Linked DNA regions of Macaca mulatta. The protein of the gene in region 4 purifies or fractionates together with the protein of the main gene of each other region. This does not show direct contact. Links are inferred from orthologs where the notes say so. Each region holds a gene or a part of one and is shown on either strand. Other genes may lie near its edges. The genes, in order: FLNA, AIFM1, FLNC and OTUD1.

Region 1 (4,128 bases), on a different chromosome or scaffold from region 4:
TTGCTGGCATCCCAAGAGTCCCAGTCAGGACACAGGCCTATGGCACAAGGAAGGCTGTGAATCCGGGGGCTACAGAAGCCCCTCAAGGGCCACCCATGGGCGACCCCAGCCCAGTCTCTCCTGCCTCTGTGCCCCCTCACCCGGGGCACAGCTGTCGACCAGGGCACCCAGGGCCCGGCCGCTCTGCCAGTCTCGGCTGAAGTTGGTGATGGGCAGCTGTGGCAGCTTGTTCTGGATCCAGCCCAGGAGCCTCTGCTTGGGGGTCTGCTTCTTGGCCTCCTCATCCTCCTCCTCATCCCACATGGGCATGGAGATGGAGTAGTGCAGGATCAGGGTCCAGATGAGGCCCAGGATCAGCTTCAGGTTCCCGTCCACGATGGCCTTGCTGTCTGTGAGTACAAGAGTGGCTACACTGGGCACACAGCTGTGCGGGAGGGGCCGCTCCCAGGCTTTGGGGTCATGGTCTGGTAGCACGGGATGGGGGGGCCAAGGAGGAGGGAGACACCCCGTCTTGACCAGTGGTAGGATGTGGATGAGGCCCTCTCTGCCCAGCATCCCAGGGGGTGTTCAGAAGTAAAGGAGACTTTGGGGTGAGGGGAGATACCCACAGACATGCGATGATAGCAGGGTATGATTACTGCCAGAAGCCCTGGGCCCAGAGGAAGGGCAGAGGGCAGACCCAGCCCACAGATGGTCAGCTCTGGAGAACAGCTGGACAGTGTCCACAGCTGCCAGAGCAGGGGTCTGCCACCCGCCTCAGGGGCCTATGGGGAACCAGGAGGAGGAGATTGGCTCCAGCTGGCCCAGAATCCAGGGCCCATGGCCTGGAGTGGGGCTGGGGCTGAGGAAGAGGAAGACGGGTGGCCCTGGGTGGTTGGGAAATACAACTGTTGTTCCAGGGTGGGTGGGGTGAGGCAGGGGAAGTGGGGGAGTTGGGCAAACACCCTTTGGGTAAAGGAGTGTGACCCCCACCACCACCTCCACTTCCTCTACTACCTCGAAGACCCAAGCTTGGAGCTGGGAGGCCACAGGCCCGGCCAGGGGAGAGGCCCAGAGCCCAAAGGAACCAGCAGTTGGGCCACATGGCCCTGACTCACTGGGGCCCATCGGGAGATGCCGGGCTGGCAGCAGGAGACACTGTGGGAACCCCCTTGCCACCCACTGCCTGACCCACTTGCCACCTAACGGGCCTGGGCCTCGGCAGGCTCGCCACAGGGGAAGTGGTTAGGGCGGGTCCCCGACACCCCCCCCATTGCCATGGCAACCCTGCTGGGCTCTGGGCCCCACCCAAAGCTACTTCTGGGTCTCAGGCTCAAGGCAGGATGGTTTGGGCTTTCTAAGAGCTCATCTTTAGAAGCTCTGTCAGCCTCTCCCATAATCAGACAAAATACTTCTCTGGTGAGTCAACTAGGGGGTGGGTCTATGAGGAGGGGCTGGGCCGTCCACGGCAGCTGCTTCCCAGCCCAGCAGGCAGCACCTGGAGGGCCAGGTGGGCCGCTCAAAGTAGAGTGGCCTCCCCAGTTCCCAGATTGGTCCTGGCCCCACGAGGCTGCCTTTCACTCTCCCTAAATGGCAGCGGGGAGAGGGGCTCAGAGAGGACTGAGGGTGCAAGGCCAGGGAACAAGGCCAGCCAGGGCTTCCCATCAGGCCCCCACCCCAATCCAGCCTGAGACCCCTTAACGACCCCCACACCGGGGGCAACCAGGCCCACCAGGTCCATGTTAGGCCAACCTACTCCGTCCCCATCCCCCTCCCAAAAGAGAGTGTGAAGGACCAGGGCCCAGGGCTGGGAGACTGCCTGGCTGGATGGCCCCGCCCCATCCCACCCCCTTTCCCCAGCCCCCGGGCCAGCCAGCCCCTCCCTCCCCTAATCACTGCTGCTTTCCAACATTTTTTTGCCTTATATGGCAAAGCTCTGGGAACTAGGCCTGCTCCAGCCAGCTCACAAGGAGGAGGGGAGCTGGGAGGAGGGAGGAGACCCCCCCCAAAGAACTGGGGTGTGGCCCGCCTCCCCACATCCGGTCGCCCCCCCCCCACACCATCCAGGACTCTGAAATGACTCAGCTTGGCTAGACTGAGGCTGGGACTTGGGGGGGTGGGCCTGCCCCTCGCCTCAACTGGCATTCCAAAGAAAGAACTTCAATTCTTGGGATCTGCCCTCTGAGTGGCTGGGGGAACCCAAGTCTTGGTCCCTCACTTTCTTGGGTTCAGCAAGGGCCATTCCAGAGCTGCAGGGATAACTGGAAGGCCTCTCAGTTCTGAAGAAGAGAAGAATCATCATCCCTCTCCTCTCCCTGTTCAACGTCACCCCCAAGTCACCCGTTCTGGTGCCTGCCCTTCCAAGCAGCCCCTATCTTGAGAAAGAACTGGGATGCTGCAGCAGGCCTGGTCAATGCCAGCCTCACCAGTCCAGTGACACAGACACTGGGCTGGCACAGTGCACGCCGGAGCATCTACCAACCAACTCCTGCGTGCTATACGCAGAAAAGCAAGGCCAACATGGAAGCAAGAATTTGTCCCAAGATGAACAGAAAAGTTGGCGTCCAAGTAGTCTACAAGCCAGGTCCCTCAGTCAACCACGCCCAACTCCGGGTACAGTTTTGCTAACTACGCTTCTTTCTGGCCCCCAGGTTCCCTGTGTGTGTGGGGGAGGTAGATCTAAACTGGTGGTTGGAGCCATCTCCGATGGGCGACGCATCCTCCAGGGACAGAAAGAGCCCAGAGTCCTAGACAATGGGACGCACGAGCTCCAACCCACACTTTAGAAACAAGGGGAGTCTGAAGCCAGAGGGCCCTCTCTAAACAGCTGTGGGGGGAGAGCCTGGGCCTCCTCCTCCTCGAGGATGGGGCGCAGGGCCAGAGCCTGCCCAGTGCCCGACCCCCCAGGCCCACTCCCACCGCGAGCACATCTGCGGGGGCGCGGCCTGCTGAGGATGTGAGTTCAGCCTGGGCGCCGGCCAGCCGGGGCGCGGCGGGCGGGGGCGCGTAGCGGTTCGCACGCCCGGCCGGCCAGCCCGCCAGCCCGCGCGCCTTTGTTCTCCAGGCCCGCGTGGAGCAGACCAGCCGGGGGCCTCGGGAGCTGCGCCGCAGCCCGGAAGGAGGTGGTTTGGAGGGGTCCGCCCGGGGGGATGGAAGGACGCACGGAATTCCCGCCCCCGCCCGCCCGCCCGGCGCTTCGGGGCGTCCCTCACCGATGGACACCAGTTTGATGCTCTCGCGGTCCAGGAACTCGAGCGCCACCGACACATTCTCAAGCTGCATTTGGCGGAAAGTGGGCCGCTGGTTGTGCTTGCGGTGCATCTTCTTCTGGCTGAGCACCTCCAGCAGCGCGATGAGCCGCAGCCCGTCGCTCAGGTCCGTCTGCAGGTTGGCGATGCGCTTGCTCACGCACTTCAGGTGCTCGTTGCACCAGCGCGTGAAAGTGTTCTGCTGGATCTTCTTCCACGGCGCGTCCTCCGCGAGGTCCTTCTCGGTGGCCGGCATCTCCGCGTCCCGCGTGTCAGCGCCACCACCCGGAGCCGCGCCTGCTGCGCTCTGGCCCGCCCGAGAGTGGGAGCTACTCATTTTGAGGCGCGAGAAGCCGGGGGGGCGGTGCTGCAGCCTCGGCGAGGGGACGGCCCTTTAATTAAAGTCGCAGGCACCTCGGCGCGCGGGAGGCGAGGAAGGAAGCAGAGGTTGCGCTGCGGAGAGAGCGAGCCCTTTAAATGCGGGCGGGGGGCGGGGCCAGGGGGCGGGCCTCCTGCGGGGAGGGGCCGTGGGGTGGGGCTTCGGGGGCGCGACTGCCCCACCCCGCCCCGCCCGTTGGAATGCCCCCACTAGGCCCCGGGCTTTGGCTGATCAGACGTGAAACCCGGGCTCCGGGGTGGGTCGCTGGGCCCTGGAGTGGGCAAGGATGCTCCCAGCCCCGCGGCCTCGCGTTGGCGCTGCAGGAAACGCGCCCCAGAGCGAGGAAAGGCTGAGCAGTATCTGGCGCGGGACTGCTTGGCCTGCAGCCGGCGCGCCTTACAAGGGACTTTCCTTCCCCAGGGCTCCTGCGAGGGGTGGGGTGGTTCTCGTCCCTAAGTCACTTGGGCTCTGCCCCGTCCCTGCACAACCCTACCCTCCCACCGTCATCCCCTTTCCCCGGGC
Region 2 (4,782 bases), on a different chromosome or scaffold from region 4:
AAATGTTCAAACATTTGAACCTACAGTCAGGGAGTCGGTGATCAGTTTGATAACATGGGCGGCAGTGTTTGGTGACCAAACAAAATATTACAGAACAGAAAATATCTATTATCTAACCTATCTGCTCCTCTGTGTCTGAATGCAGACATAGAGTGTTGACTATGAGTTACCTTCAATCATTTCTGGAAGGAGGCAGAGCATCCAAATAAATAAAGTAAATAAACAGTAGCTATCATGGTTTTAAGGCAGAATGCAACATCTAATGGAAATGAACCTGACAATGGTGACAGATGTCAATGAGATAGTTGCAAGGCAGGTTTAAAGTTTAAAGGTTTGGGAGGCCGAGGCAGGCGGATCATGAGGTCAGGAGTTTGAGACCAGCCTGGCCAGCATGGTGAAACCCCCGTCTCTACTAAAAATACAAAAAATTAGCCGGGCGTGGTGGTGCACACCTCTAGTCCCAGCTACTCGGGAGGCTGAGGCAGGAGAATTGCTTGAACCCGGCAGGCAGAGGCTGCAGTGAGCCAAGATCACTCCACTGCACTCCAGCCTGGGCAACACAGCGAGACTCTGTCTCAAAAAAAAAAAAAAAAGGAAGTTTAAAGGTAAGGTGGAGGGAGAAATGGTGTATAAACGAACCTCGCTCTTTCTCACCTGTGCAAAAACACATGGTAGATGCTACTACATGAAAAAGAAATCAGATTAAAGGCAATTAGTAATCAAGCCACAAAACAGAGTTAATTCCTATAATGAGAGTATCAGAACTTCTTTTTGAAATTGTAACACTACCCTCACCCATTTTTAAAGGCAGGTGATGTCATACTTTGGTGCATGGCCAAAGGACAAAGAATAAGTGTATGCAAAGAGGTGGATGGATATGTCAGGAAGTCTGAATATATTCTACAGTAGACTGCCTTCAAACAAAGACATGCAGTGGAAAAAACCACTGGAGTCTGTATTTTTCAGTAGTTCTAACATCACCAACCACTTTCCAATGTCTAATACATCAACTTAACTTTGCAAATGCATATTTAATTGATGAGAACTTTTGGTCAGACTTTAGAATGCTGGTAAAAGTCGTGAGACTTAAGCAAAACAACTACTCAAAGTCTGAAAGGCCAGTGTGGATGAAAAAATTCAGGTTATTGCCGGGCGCGGTGGCTCACGCCTGTAATCCCAGCACTTTGGGAGGCCAAAGCGGGCAGATCACGAGGTCAGTACATCGAGACCATCCTGGCTAACACTGTGAAACCCCATCTCTACTAAAAATACAAAAAAAAAATTAGCCAGGCATGGTGTCGGGTGCCTGTAGTTCCAGCTACTTGGGAGGCTGAGGCAGGAGAATGGCGTGAACCCAGAAGGCAGAGCTTGCAGTGAGCCGAGATCGCATCCACTGCACTCCAGCCTGAGCAACAGAGCGAGACTCCATCTCAAAAAAAAAAAATAAATAAAAATAAATAAAAATTCAGGTTATTTCAGTTTCTGTGCAACAAGCACAGAGCACCATCATTTCAATGCACAAAACCCACAAAGATGACATCCATTGATAAGGCATTAGTTTAAAAGCTAAGCAGAGGTTTTAAGTTCCAAGAGCAATATGTCCCAGGACATAACTCAAATACACCTATCAGGAAACATTTTCATTGTGCATAGCAACTGGAAAAACTGTTCAAATGCACATTTGCAAAGACCCTAACAACCCAAGGAAAACATTTTCCACTTTTTATTTTTAAAGCACCCAGGTGTTTCTGTATTGTAAAAGCCTCAAGGATAACTTCCGACATTGCAAATGCCCTGGGGATGGACACTGAAAGATTACTGATTTTTTTTTAAAGCAGCTCCTACAGGTGGATCATTCATTGTCCCCATGAAGTAATGCAGTACGAAAATAAGCAGGCTCAAGCAATGCTCAGATAAATTCAGGGATATCTGATGTACAATGGGCTAATTACTGGGAAGAGACCCGAATTCATTAACTTTTTGGGGTCAACTTTAGGAAGCAGTATGGAGTTACAGCAAAGGGATTAAGGACCTGGAGACTAGCAAACTATCCTTAGCTCTACCTATTAACGATGTGACCTTTGGCAAGTAGTTTCACCTCTCTGTGCCTCAGTTTATTATCTATAAAATGAGTGGGTTGAACTTTACCACAAAACCCTTCCAGCTCTAAAATTTGATGGAACAACTTAACGGAGGACAAATACAATGCGTTCTGCAAACTGTTTCTTTGAAGCCTTAAAAACCACCAAGAACTACACGGCTCAGGCATCTCCAATTAATTCTGGGCCAATTCTCTATGTGTCTGGTGCACAACCGACCGACTCCTTACTTGCCTTGCACCGTTTCTATTTCACTGGGCATTCAAATCCATGGATCTCATCTATGGTTTGCGAGGCTGAGCAGATAATACCCTCATTTACACAAGAAACTTAGGCTTAGGTCTTAAACGTCCTGTTTAAAGTCTCATTCGGTAAATGATAAAGTCTACTTGACCTCATTGCTCTAAAAAGGGGGGTGGGGAATGGGGATGGCGGGGAGGCGGCGACGGCCAGTTGTTCTGGGATCCCTGAACAGCAAACGCTCCCCGGAAAAGGCCTCAGGCCGACTACTGGGTTCAAATCTCTTGAAGGTCAGGTCGGCATGGCTGAACCAATTCCTCCGCTTGCAAGACTCAGGGTTCGGAGTCTGCCAATTTGGAATTCACGCGACTATGTGTTAAGTTTCTCGGGGGACGCGAGGGTAGAGGGCTGCAACGCACAGAGAGCCTAAGGCGCCAGGCCCTTGGACTTGGAGGCTGCCTGGAATGGGTCAATCACCTGGGAGCCGGTTCCTCTGCCTCGGGCTTCGGACGCACACGGTCCGCACCAAGGGCACCAGCTTCTGCTTCAAAGCACCCGCCGCCAGGCCTCCACACCGGAACATTTCGGCGACCGCTATTCGGGTCCTCCTCCTTCCCTTTCCTCTCACGCACGACCGACGGGTCAAACACCGCGAGCCCCGGCCAGCTCCCCCTGTCTCTTCACACGCACACTACGCAGACTCCTCCTCCCAGCTCCGGGTGGGCATTGGACAGAGAAGCCGGCCTGCTAGAGCCGGGGAAGAGAAACGGCGACCGGAGGCCTACTGCGCAGGCGTAGCACTCGCTGCCACATTGCGATTGGTCCGCACGGCGAGAGGATTTGCGCATGCACTACCTGACTGCACGCTCGCAAAGACCTTGGCTCTAGGTAGCCAGTATTCGCGAGTTGGTGGCACGGTGTTGGACTGAACGAGTTAAGGAAGCTGTCCAAGGAGGGACTCGTGGGGCCGCTTTGATTGGCGGTTGTGCCTGGTGCTGTCGCTGTGTTGGTGACAGGAACTGATAACAGCATCTCACAGCAGCGTAGCCCCAGCACCGCACTTTGTTTTTTGGTTTTAGGCCACTAGTTACTTGATACTGAAGCCTTCCTGATTCTTTTGCTATGATCCAGATCCAATTTTTCCATGAGTCCGAGGCGCGGAACCTGGCTTCCCAGATCCGGCGTGTACTGCCATCTTTTACCAGTTGCCGGCTCTTTCCCACCCAACCCGTTTCGCGGACGAGTAATTCGGCGCTCTCCTTCCCGCCTGTCACCTTTATTTTTTAGTGCAGTTGTGTGTCCTAGATACTGTACCAGGTGCTACAGATACACACGGTCTCCTGCTGTGGTTTCAGGATGCTTGAGAGCAGGATGTTAGCAAAAAGCGTTTGTGCTTCTCAGACTTTATGGGAAGAGAAGTCTTCTAAGCAGAACTTTCAGTTATGGGAGTAAGGTGAGGGGCTGAGTATAAATAGGTGTTTTGACTCTGCCAGATATAAGCTAAATTGGAAATAATGTTTTGGCTGCATGCAGAGCATGAAATGTGCCTGTTTCAAATATTCAACTTACATATTCATTTAACAAGTATTTGTTGAGCATTTGCCTCTTGGATTGTACTATAAAAGGGGCTCTAGTGGGTATGAAAAGTACGGATGGTCCCCGACTTACCCCTCACAATGGTTCAACTTAACAATTTTTCGACTTTATGATGGGTTTAATGAGACCTAACCCCATGTAAGTCGAGGAGCATCTGGATTTAACCATGGTTCAACTTACGTTTTTTCGACTTTATGATGGGTTTGTCAGGGTATTAAATGCAGTTTTGACTTAAGATATTTTCAATTTACAATGGGTTTATTTGGACGTAGCATCTGTATAGGAAGTGGCCACTGTCTAGTTGGGGAGATGACATACACCGGTCATTGAAATTAATATCCGGTGTCGTGCCGGACAGAGCAAGAGAGAAGACTATGGGATGGAATCGCTATGGAAGAACTTCATACAAGAAGTTATTTGAGCTGTATCTTGAAGGATGAGTAGTAAAATTCAAATCGTGGAGGAAAAGGAATGATATTTCAGATGATGAATACTTTGGGACCAAAGATAACATTTTTCATTGTTAAACATGTTGACCTTGGATCCAGACCAACCCAGATTGAATCATGGCTCTGCCACCTGGGCAAGTCACTTAATTGTGCCTCATTTTCCTCATCTACCAATCTCATGAGGGTGTTCGGAAGACTAAATGAGCTAATATTTGTAAAGTGTCATAGAGGAAGCACCATGCTGTTTGTTAAATGAAAAGGCTTGGAAGTGTTTAAGAAAAAACAAACCCCAGCACATTTTCAGGGGGCATCATACTAAGAAGTATTGATGTGGTCAGGCTCCGTGGCTCATGCCTGTAATCCCAGCACTTTGGGAGGCCTAGGCAGGTGGATCACTT
Region 3 (4,128 bases), on a different chromosome or scaffold from region 4:
GCCAGCAAAGTCAAGGCCGAGGGCCCTGGGCTGAATCGCACAGGTGAGTGTCTGGGCAGGGGCTGGGCCTGGCTCGAGGTTGGGGTTAAGTGGCTACCAGGCCCTCACCACATCTCTGGGTGGCTCCTCAGGTGTGGAAGTTGGGAAGCCCACCCACTTCACGGTGCTGACCAAGGGAGCCGGCAAGGCCAAGTTGGATGTGCAGTTTGCAGGGACAGCCAAGGGCGAGGCTGTGCGGGACTTTGAGATCATAGACAACCATGACTATTCCTACACTGTCAAGTACACCGCTGTCCAGCAGGTGCGCTCTGCCCCTCCCATGCCCCCGCCTGACTGGACTGTCGGAGCTCTGGGTCTCCCTCCTCCAGTCCCATGGGACCAGTTCTGGATCCTCCATGCCTTCGCTGCCTCCTGCCCTCACTCTTGTGGTGGATCTGAGCTTCAGAGCCCATATTCACCACCAGGATGTTGCAGGACCGTGCCTTATACCCAGTTCTGACCTACCATTGTACCCAACAGGGCAACATGGCAGTGACAGTGACCTACGGCGGGGACCCTGTCCCCAAGAGCCCCTTTGTGGTGAATGTGGCACCCCCGCTGGACCTCAGCAAAATCAAAGTTCAGGGCCTCAATAGCAGTAAGTGGGGCAAGAGCCACCCTGGGAGTGAGGGGTGTTCGGGTGGGGTGGACCGGAGTCTCCTCATGGTGTCACTTGTCCTCCACGCAGAGGTGGCTGTGGGACAGGAACAAGCATTCTCTGTGAACACACGAGGGGCTGGCGGTCAAGGCCAACTGGATGTGCGGATGACTTCGCCCTCTCGCCGGCCCATCCCCTGCAAGCTGGAGCCAGGCGGCGGAGCGGAAGCCCAGGCTGTGCGCTACATGCCCCCGGAGGAGGGGCCCTACAAGGTGGACATCACCTACGATGGTCACCCAGTGCCTGGCAGCCCCTTTGCTGTGGAGGGTGTCCTGCCCCCTGATCCCTCCAAGGTGAGGAGATAGGAGCTGGTTGGGGCTGGGAGTTGGGGACTTGTCGGGAAGCTGGAAGAGTCATAGCGGGCAGAGGCCAGAGGGACTTATGTGCCTGGAGTGGGCACAGCCAAGAACGTGGGACTGAGACCAGCCCCACCCCACCACCTTCCTTGGAGACAACTTAGCTATTAAGAGCCTGGCCTTAGAGTCAGACCTGGGCTTGAATCCCAGGTCCACTACCTGGGGAAATTGCTTCATCTCTCTGCCTCCATGTCATCACCTGGAATTGTTATAAGCACTCAGTCTGCAATAGCAGCCACAGTTGGAGGTGATGAGTTAGGTGGGGGCCATGAAGGCTGGGATGGGAAGGCCGGGTGCAGGGAACCCACACACCTGCCTCTTCCCCTAGGTCTGTGCTTACGGCCCCGGTCTCAAGGGTGGACTGGTAGGCACCCCCGCACCATTCTCCATCGACACCAAGGGGGCTGGCACAGGTGGCCTGGGGCTGACCGTGGAGGGCCCCTGCGAGGCCAAGATCGAGTGCCAGGACAATGGTGATGGCTCATGTGCTGTCAGCTACCTGCCCACGGAGCCTGGCGAGTACACCATCAACATCCTGTTTGCCGAAGCCCACATCCCTGGCTCGCCCTTCAAAGCTACCATCCGGCCCGTGTTTGACCCAAGCAAGGTGCGGGCCAGTGGGCCGGGCCTGGAGCGCGGCAAGGCCGGTGAGGCAGCCACCTTCACTGTGGACTGCTCAGAGGCAGGCGAGGCAGAGCTGACCATTGAGATCCTGTCGGATGCCGGGGTCAAGGCCGAGGTGCTGATTCACAATAATGCGGATGGCACCTACCACATCACCTACAGCCCTGCCTTCCCCGGCACCTACACCATTACCATCAAATATGGCGGGCATCCGGTGCCCAAATTCCCCACCCGCGTCCATGTGCAGCCTGCGGTCGATACCAGTGGCGTCAAGGTCTCAGGGCCTGGTGTTGAGCCACATGGTGAGTGGTCAGGAGGAGCCAAGTGAGGTCAAGTGGCAGGTGCAGGAGCCGGATAGTCAGTGGGAGGGAGGGAAGCAGAGCTGAGGGCTGGCGGAGCCACCTGGCATGAAGGGAGGGCTCTCAGGGCAGCCCTAAAGTCCCTACTGGCCCAGAAGCCCCAGAGAAGGAGTGGAGGGGAAGACTGGGAGTGGAGACTGGCCTCCGCTCTTGTGGCAAAACTGCACCTGCCTCTGGGCGTTTTCCTGGAGAGGTCTCTTCTTTCATGTGCTTAAGGGGTGCTCTGATGCAAAAAGCTGCAACTCTGCTCTGGAGGGGGGCGGGGGAAAGCTCTGGGGTAGAGGATGACAAGAGTCAGGAGACAGTAAGTGGGAATGGGCCATCTGCCGGGGCCAGACCCTGGCCAGGCATGGGGCACGGCAGAGGGATGCAAGACCCAGGCCCACAGCCTGGTGGGTGACTCATGTGAACAGAGAATGTCACTACATGGAGAAGGGAGTGAAGGCAGAGGCTGGAGCTCACGGAGGTGCAGGGGAGGGTAGGGGGCCCAGCCTCTGATCAGAGGAGCAGCCTGGGAGTTGGGGAGTGGGAGAGGAGGGGGGAGGAGGGGAAGAGGAGAAGGAGAGGAGAGGGAGAGGAGGGGGAGAGGAGAGGGAGCATCTGTGTGAAGGCTGCCCCCACCCCTGCTGAGCATGCCACCCCTGGGCTCCAGGTGTCCTGCGGGAGGTGACCACTGAGTTCACTGTGGATGCAAGATCCTTAACAGCCACAGGCGGCAACCACGTGACGGCTCGCGTGCTCAACCCCTCGGGGGCCAAGACAGACACTTATGTGACAGACAATGGGGACGGCACCTACCGAGTACAGTACACCGCCTACGAGGAGGGTGAGGGCCGGTGGAGGGCCGGGCGAGCGGGCAGGGCCGGCCTCTGATGATATTGCGCTCGGGGCAGGAGGGGTGGTGGGGGTGCACACTCCCTGATTGATGCCCCTGTGGCTGGCTTCCAGGCGTGCATTTGGTGGAGGTCCTGTATGATGAGGTCGCTGTGCCCAAGAGCCCCTTCCGAGTGGGTGTCACCGAGGGCTGTGATCCCACCCGCGTCCGGGCCTTCGGGCCAGGCCTGGAGGGTGGCTTGGTTAACAAGGCCAACCGCTTCACTGTGGAGACCAGGTATCCTCCCCATTTGCTAGCCTAAACCTGTGACCACCCTTTCCCAGCCCCTGGCCCTCCTTGCTCGTCCCTCTGTCTGTACCTCAGCCCCACCCCATCCTCTCTCTGGGGTGAGGCAGGAGCAGACCCCCCGACAGGACTCCAGATCAGCCCCTGGCTCATTTCTCCTCAGCTGGGTCCCCAGCGGCCTGCCCTCTTTCCTCCCTGTCCCCCCATTCAGCTACTCCCTCATCTTCACTCACTGGTCTTATGAAGCTGATGGGGGGGTGTCATCTCTCAGGGGAGCCGGCACCGGGGGCCTTGGCCTAGCCATCGAGGGTCCCTCGGAAGCCAAGATGTCCTGCAAGGACAACAAGGATGGTAGCTGCACTGTGGAGTACATCCCCTTCACCCCTGGAGACTATGACGTCAACATCACCTTCGGGGGGCGGCCCATCCCAGGTGTGCAGAGAGAGTGGTCGGGGCCTCAGGGAAGACAAGGGAGGATGCAGGATGCTCACCCCACAAGGGGGAAACTGGAAGGAAGTTAGATGAGAACATTCATAGAGAGGATAGCCAAGAGCAGGTCGGGGCTGGAGCCCAGCCAGAGGGAGGACGTGGAGGAGGCAGGCAGTGAGGGTTGATGCGACAGCCCCCCAGTCAATCCCAGGAACACGCTCTGGCCTCCTAGCCCCTTGCCTGGAGCTCGAGACGTCGGCTGTGCAGGTCCACTGCTCAGTGTGTGTCTGGAAACTCAGACACCGCCCACTCCTCTTGGTGGCTCAGGCCAGCCTTGGGCCTTCTTGCCCGCATCGTCTGCAGAATTCCCCTTGCCTTCTGCAGGCCCAGCTGCCTGGACAGGTTATGTTTTCAAATATTGCATGACTTGGGACTGCTGAAATTGGAAGTATTTTCCCTTATCTAATTTCCCATCTTTTTATTATTTCAGACACAGTGTCAGAAATACATTTCATTTTTAAAAACATTTTATTTTCAGTTTAT
Region 4 (4,792 bases):
ATAAATATGACTAAAAGTAGTTAAAGTGGCAATGAGATAGATTTTAAGTTGGAAACATTGTTTGACCCAGCAAACCATACAAGCTCTGTTTACAGACATTTCTACATTAATACAGGGCAATCCTATTTCACCTTCTGAAAGAATGTAAAAGAAATATTAAGACAGTGTTCTCCTGCTCTAACTGCCAAGGGTGGCTCCAGACATTTATGCCATTAGTTTATAAATCTCTTAGTTGGATCCAAGAAGTTAAAGCAGGAGGCTTATCTTGTCACAGAGTTTTATACCATATTAACATTCTCTTTATAACAAAATAACAAATGTCAATAAAAACAATTGAGAGCACCAGACGATCTACTCTACATATCAACCAGGGTACAGAATAACCATTCTGCCATCAGCAAATATCAGACTTTCATTCAAGTAAGACCTGGTACTATCCCTTAAAACAGGAAAAAAAAGAAAAAAAACACCTTCCCACAACCTTCCATTAGATAATTTTCTTTAAAAGATTCACCATTTCTAGAAAAATAATGATTTCCAAAACAACAGCTCTGTTTCATCAAAATGGAATGGGCCAAACATCTGGTAACAAGAATGTTTCAATATCCATTTGAAATAATTATCTAAGAATTGTGAAATTCAAATTTCAACAACATAAAATAACTACCAAATCACAAATTCTGTTCAAAATAATACATTTCATATAAAGCACTTCTCTGGATTTATGCCTGAACACATCATAGATGAAGGTACACCAGTTTTTAAAAATGTTGTGCAAAAATACATTTTTATAGAAAATAGACTACCAGGAATGAACAAATTTACACTGTGAGAAATCAGCTTGCAAATTAAGTAGTGCTCACTTTATACAGCAAATTATAAATAGCAATAAAATCACCCAAAGCTATCATGAAACATCATTTAGGTGGCCCAGCAACCTTCAGCTCCGAGAAAACATTCAAAAAGATGATTAAGGCATTACACCTACAATAAAATCTACTAGCAAGTTTGAAAGTGCTATTACCCTGATTAGAGTTCATGTGATTCTCCAAACACAAGTTATGTATGCAATTATTCCCAGGGTGTAAGGTTTTGAGACATTTCAAGAGCATGCATTTTGTTCAATATACATTTTGGATAGGGATATGGCCATAGATTTGGCAAGTTCTTCGTCGCGTTTCCTTTGCACTTGAGTTTGTTTGCACCAGTTGTCGTACTCTGGGTTAGGATAGGAGTGATCAAATACAGCATCATAGTGTCCGTTACTGAGCCAACTGAGCCAAATACTAGGCCTCAGGGAATCCTCTGGGCCCAAATAATGAATCATAGTAGACACCGTGGGGCTCTCCAGCCTCCCTCCAGTAGTTAAGTGGATATTCACATTCAGCATCTGCCCCATGGCCAGCAATTCCGGGTACCCAGCCCATGCCCCGTCTTGGGCAGCAGCGATGATAAACTCCCCCACGTCGCCCTCAATCAGGGGGCTGAAGTGGTCGAGATGGTCGGCGATATAGTGCACCGTCTGCTCCCTCAGCTCCCGGTGCAGGCTCTGGTCCCCATACACCGTCTTGCTGACAGCTCGGTAGAGGCAGTTGCCGTCGGGAATGATGTGGAATCGGTACTTATTCCTCTGCCGCAAGTACTTGTCCTGCTTCTCCACCTCGGCCAGGTACAGGGCCAGCTTCTCGTCTCTGGGATCTGACCTGGAGACGATCACCGGCTCCGCCGCGCTGCTCGGGGCGGTCTCGATGCTCCGGGCTGGGGGTGCCTCGGCCTCTGGGTCGGGCCTCCGCGCCGCGTCCCCACCGGGAGCGTCGCAGCGGTCGCCGCCCCTCTCCCAGCCCCTAGGGCCCCTTTCCACCAAATGCTCTTCGCCCCACGGACCGGGGTCGGGGCTCCCCGGGGTCGGCGCGGGGCCTCGGTGCTTGGCGGCGGCCAAGGCCTGGCGGTGCTCGCTCAGTCGGAAGTTCCGATCGGGCCCCTCCCGTGTCGCGTCCAAGCCCGCGGACTCGGGGCAGTCGGGCCGCAGCAGCTCCTCCAGGAGCCAGGCCGAGGAGCCCCGCCGCGGCGGGACCGGGGCTGCGGGCGCTGGGGCCAGCAGGAGGCAGCGGCCGCGCGGGGCAGCGGCGGAGCCCGCGGTGCCGGGAGCGGGCTCGGGCCCGTGCAGCAGGAGCCTGTCGGCGCCCAGGGCCCGCACGGTGATCTGCGCGGTGGACGTGTAGTGCGGCGGCAGCGGCGGCTTGCAGGACGCGCCAGGCGGGCCGGCGGCGGCAGAGGCGGGCGCGGCGGCCCCGGACACCACCTCGAAGCAGGAGGAGAAGGCGGGCATCTTGGCGGCGGGGACAGCGGCGGCTTCACGGTGCTCGGCGGCCGCGGCGGGCTGGCACTCACCGGTCTCGGGCTCGGGCGCGGCGCCGGCGGCTCCCGGGGGCTGCAGCGAGACCTTGAAGGTGGGGGCGGCGGCGGCGGGTGGCGCGGGGGCGGCGGCCGTGGGACCCGGTGACCCGGAGGGGTAGTGGGTGCAGACGCTGCTGTAGAGCTGCATGTCCCTGCCCGCCGCTCGGCCCCTTATAGGCGCGGCGAGCCCCGGAGCGGGGGACACACCCTCCGGGCCCGGGGGAGGGGGCCGGCGGAGCGCGGTGACCCAACGGCCCCAGAATAGAGATGAGCGCAAGGCCGCTGGCCGCCGCGCGTCAGCAGCCGCGAATAGCGCCCGGGTCCCGGCCAAATTCCTGCTGCGCCACAGCGTGGGGGGGGCGGGGACGGGACGCGAGCTCGACTCCTGCCGGTGCGCTCAGCCCGCAGACCCGGGGCGTCGCGCCCGCTGCAGCTGCTCCGGCCTGCGGCGGCCGCTGGGGACTCACGGAGGAAGCCGCCCGCCTCGTTGGAGCGCGTCCTGCCGGCGAGGAGGAGCGCGGTGCGCGCGGAGGCCCGGGAGGCGGGGCCGCGGTTGTTTACCTCAGGCCTCGCGGCCGCGTCACGTGGACTCGCTGGAATGCGCGGCTTGTCTCGGCGCCCGATTCAGCCGCGTCGGCTCGCCCCGCCCACTCCGGCCCGCGCCCCGCCCCCTGCTCCGCTCCGCCGACGTCACGGGCGTGGCCCTCGTCGCGCGCGCGGGCGGGGCGAGGCCGGGGGCTCGGAGGCCTGAGCAGTCCGGGAATTCCTGGCTGGGCCTCCCGCCCACGTGACTCCCGCAGACCGCTTCCCCGACCTGGGCACGGGTTTCTGCGCTGCACCACTCTCCGCAGCGGCTGCAGTGGGTGCTGCGGGATGGGCGCTTCTTGGAGCGAGTTAGCATGCTCGGAAAGCTTGCTTGGCAGGAAAGCTTCTGGCATGGGTGTGGAGAACAGAATGCTGTTTGGCCTCTGCATGGTCATGGGCTACCATCCCTCCTTGCATCCACTACTGCCTCTTTTATCTTTTTAGAGATGAGGGTCTCACCTATCTCCAAAGCTGGAGTGTAGTGGCGCAGTCCATAGCTCACTGAAGCTTTGACCTCCCGGACTCAAGCGATCCGCCCACCTCAACCCAGGTGTGCACCACCGCCCCCGGCTAATTTTTTTTTTTTTTTTTTAAGGCGAGGGTCTCACTATTACAGTTGCCCAGTCTGGTATCGAACTACTGGCCTCAAGTTGTTTCCCGCCTTGACCTCCCAAAGTGTTGGGATTACAGGCCCTAGCCACCAATCCTGGCACCACGAGTCTTTTCCTCTTTTTTTTTTTTTTTCTTTTCCTTTTTAAGGCAAGGTCTTGCTCTGCCTTCCAGGCTGACTGCAGTGGCGCCATCATGCCCCACTGCGACCTCCACCTCCGAGGTCCAAGCGATCCCCCTTCCTCAGCCTTGCCTTGGGCAGGGATTACAGGTGCCCAGCTAGTTTTACCACTGCGTCTTTTCTATGCACTTCCTTGGACCCACCTGTTAAGGGTGAGTCCTCTAGTGGATTCTCCTGCCCTGCGAAGACAAAACCAACTTTTCTGCACCTCTGACCTATGTCACTTGGCAAATACCTGCTTGGGCGAAAGCAAGGAAGCCTTTTAGCCCTTTATAAACAGCCTTTCTCAGAATACCAAATGCAGTATCACCTAGGGCCTTTTGAAAATAGATGCGATTGCTAGCCAGAGGTCAAAAGCGGTAGAGAAAGTCGTGACCTGCCTTCTGGGGCAAGATAGGCTATAGAAAATACTTCTACCGAGCCTTTTTGTAATACCCACCTTTGTAAGGGAAAGCCAGAGGTAGTGGGAGACTTTTGCTGTATTCTGAGCTTTGATCAAATGCTAAATTAACAGGCTCCAAACATTCAAATTGAACCTAGAGGTTGTCCTAACATTTTAGAGATAGGGAGACTGAACCTGTAGGTGATGTAGGCTGTAATCCGGTCCCCAACCTTTCCAGTAGAATGTGAATTCCATGAATTGAGAGACTTGGGTCTTGCTCTTAAATTTCCATTCCCTAACACAGTACCTGGCACGTAATTGGACCTAATTAATATTTACTAAGTGAATGAGTAGATGGAAAGCGAGTTCCCAAGGTTCGTCAGATAGTGGTGAAGCCAAGATTACTATCCAGGTCCCTTGACCGTAGCCAGGGCTTTTAATTATTTTTGGGCGGTATGACTGGCAGGGTCCCAGCTCAGGTCACTCCAGCCGGTTAGGTAAATTAACTCAGAAGAAGGTAAATGACTGTCTAACTTTTCAAATTCTGGTAACTACTCCTTTGGGAGCTTGAAGCGCTCATGGCTAATTAGGAAAAGGAAATTACCATGCTTGGATTTCATCACTGATTTGTTGAGCAT

What was found.
Region 1: the proteins of OTUD1 (region 4) and FLNA purify together in Homo sapiens (affinity purification with mass spectrometry; 3 studies listed by BioGRID and IntAct, with this or other methods). This does not show direct contact. The link is inferred for Macaca mulatta from reciprocal best matches to the Homo sapiens genes OTUD1 and FLNA.
Region 2: the proteins of OTUD1 (region 4) and AIFM1 purify together in Homo sapiens (affinity purification with mass spectrometry; 3 studies listed by BioGRID, with this or other methods). This does not show direct contact. The link is inferred for Macaca mulatta from reciprocal best matches to the Homo sapiens genes OTUD1 and AIFM1.
Region 3: the proteins of OTUD1 (region 4) and FLNC purify together in Homo sapiens (affinity purification with mass spectrometry; 3 studies listed by BioGRID and IntAct, with this or other methods). This does not show direct contact. The link is inferred for Macaca mulatta from reciprocal best matches to the Homo sapiens genes OTUD1 and FLNC.

The regions. Positions count from the first base shown.
Region 1 is NC_133426.1:160,544,248-160,548,375, reverse strand, and holds part of FLNA (filamin-A), read right to left. Parts: intron 3,681-4,128; 5' UTR 3,565-3,680; coding exon 3,192-3,564; intron 390-3,191; coding exon 141-389; intron 38-140; coding exon 1-37. UniProt on the Homo sapiens protein: Promotes orthogonal branching of actin filaments and links actin filaments to membrane glycoproteins. Anchors various transmembrane proteins to the actin cytoskeleton and serves as a scaffold for a wide range of cytoplasmic signaling proteins.
Region 2 is NC_133426.1:136,618,906-136,623,687, forward strand, and holds the start of AIFM1 (apoptosis-inducing factor 1, mitochondrial), read right to left. Parts: upstream 3,015-4,782; 5' UTR 2,923-3,014; coding exon 2,817-2,922; intron 1-2,816. UniProt on the Homo sapiens protein: Functions both as NADH oxidoreductase and as regulator of apoptosis.
Region 3 is NC_133408.1:168,478,456-168,482,583, forward strand, and holds part of FLNC (filamin-C), read left to right. Parts: coding exon 1-43; intron 44-131; coding exon 132-301; intron 302-519; coding exon 520-637; intron 638-727; coding exon 728-990; intron 991-1,381; coding exon 1,382-1,979; intron 1,980-2,688; coding exon 2,689-2,862; intron 2,863-2,984; coding exon 2,985-3,147; intron 3,148-3,427; coding exon 3,428-3,588; intron 3,589-4,128.
Region 4 is NC_133414.1:24,894,586-24,899,377, reverse strand, and holds the start of OTUD1 (OTU domain-containing protein 1), read right to left. Parts: upstream 2,943-4,792; 5' UTR 2,546-2,942; coding exon 1,103-2,545; 3' UTR 1-1,102. UniProt on the Homo sapiens protein: Deubiquitinating enzyme that specifically hydrolyzes 'Lys-63'-linked polyubiquitin to monoubiquitin.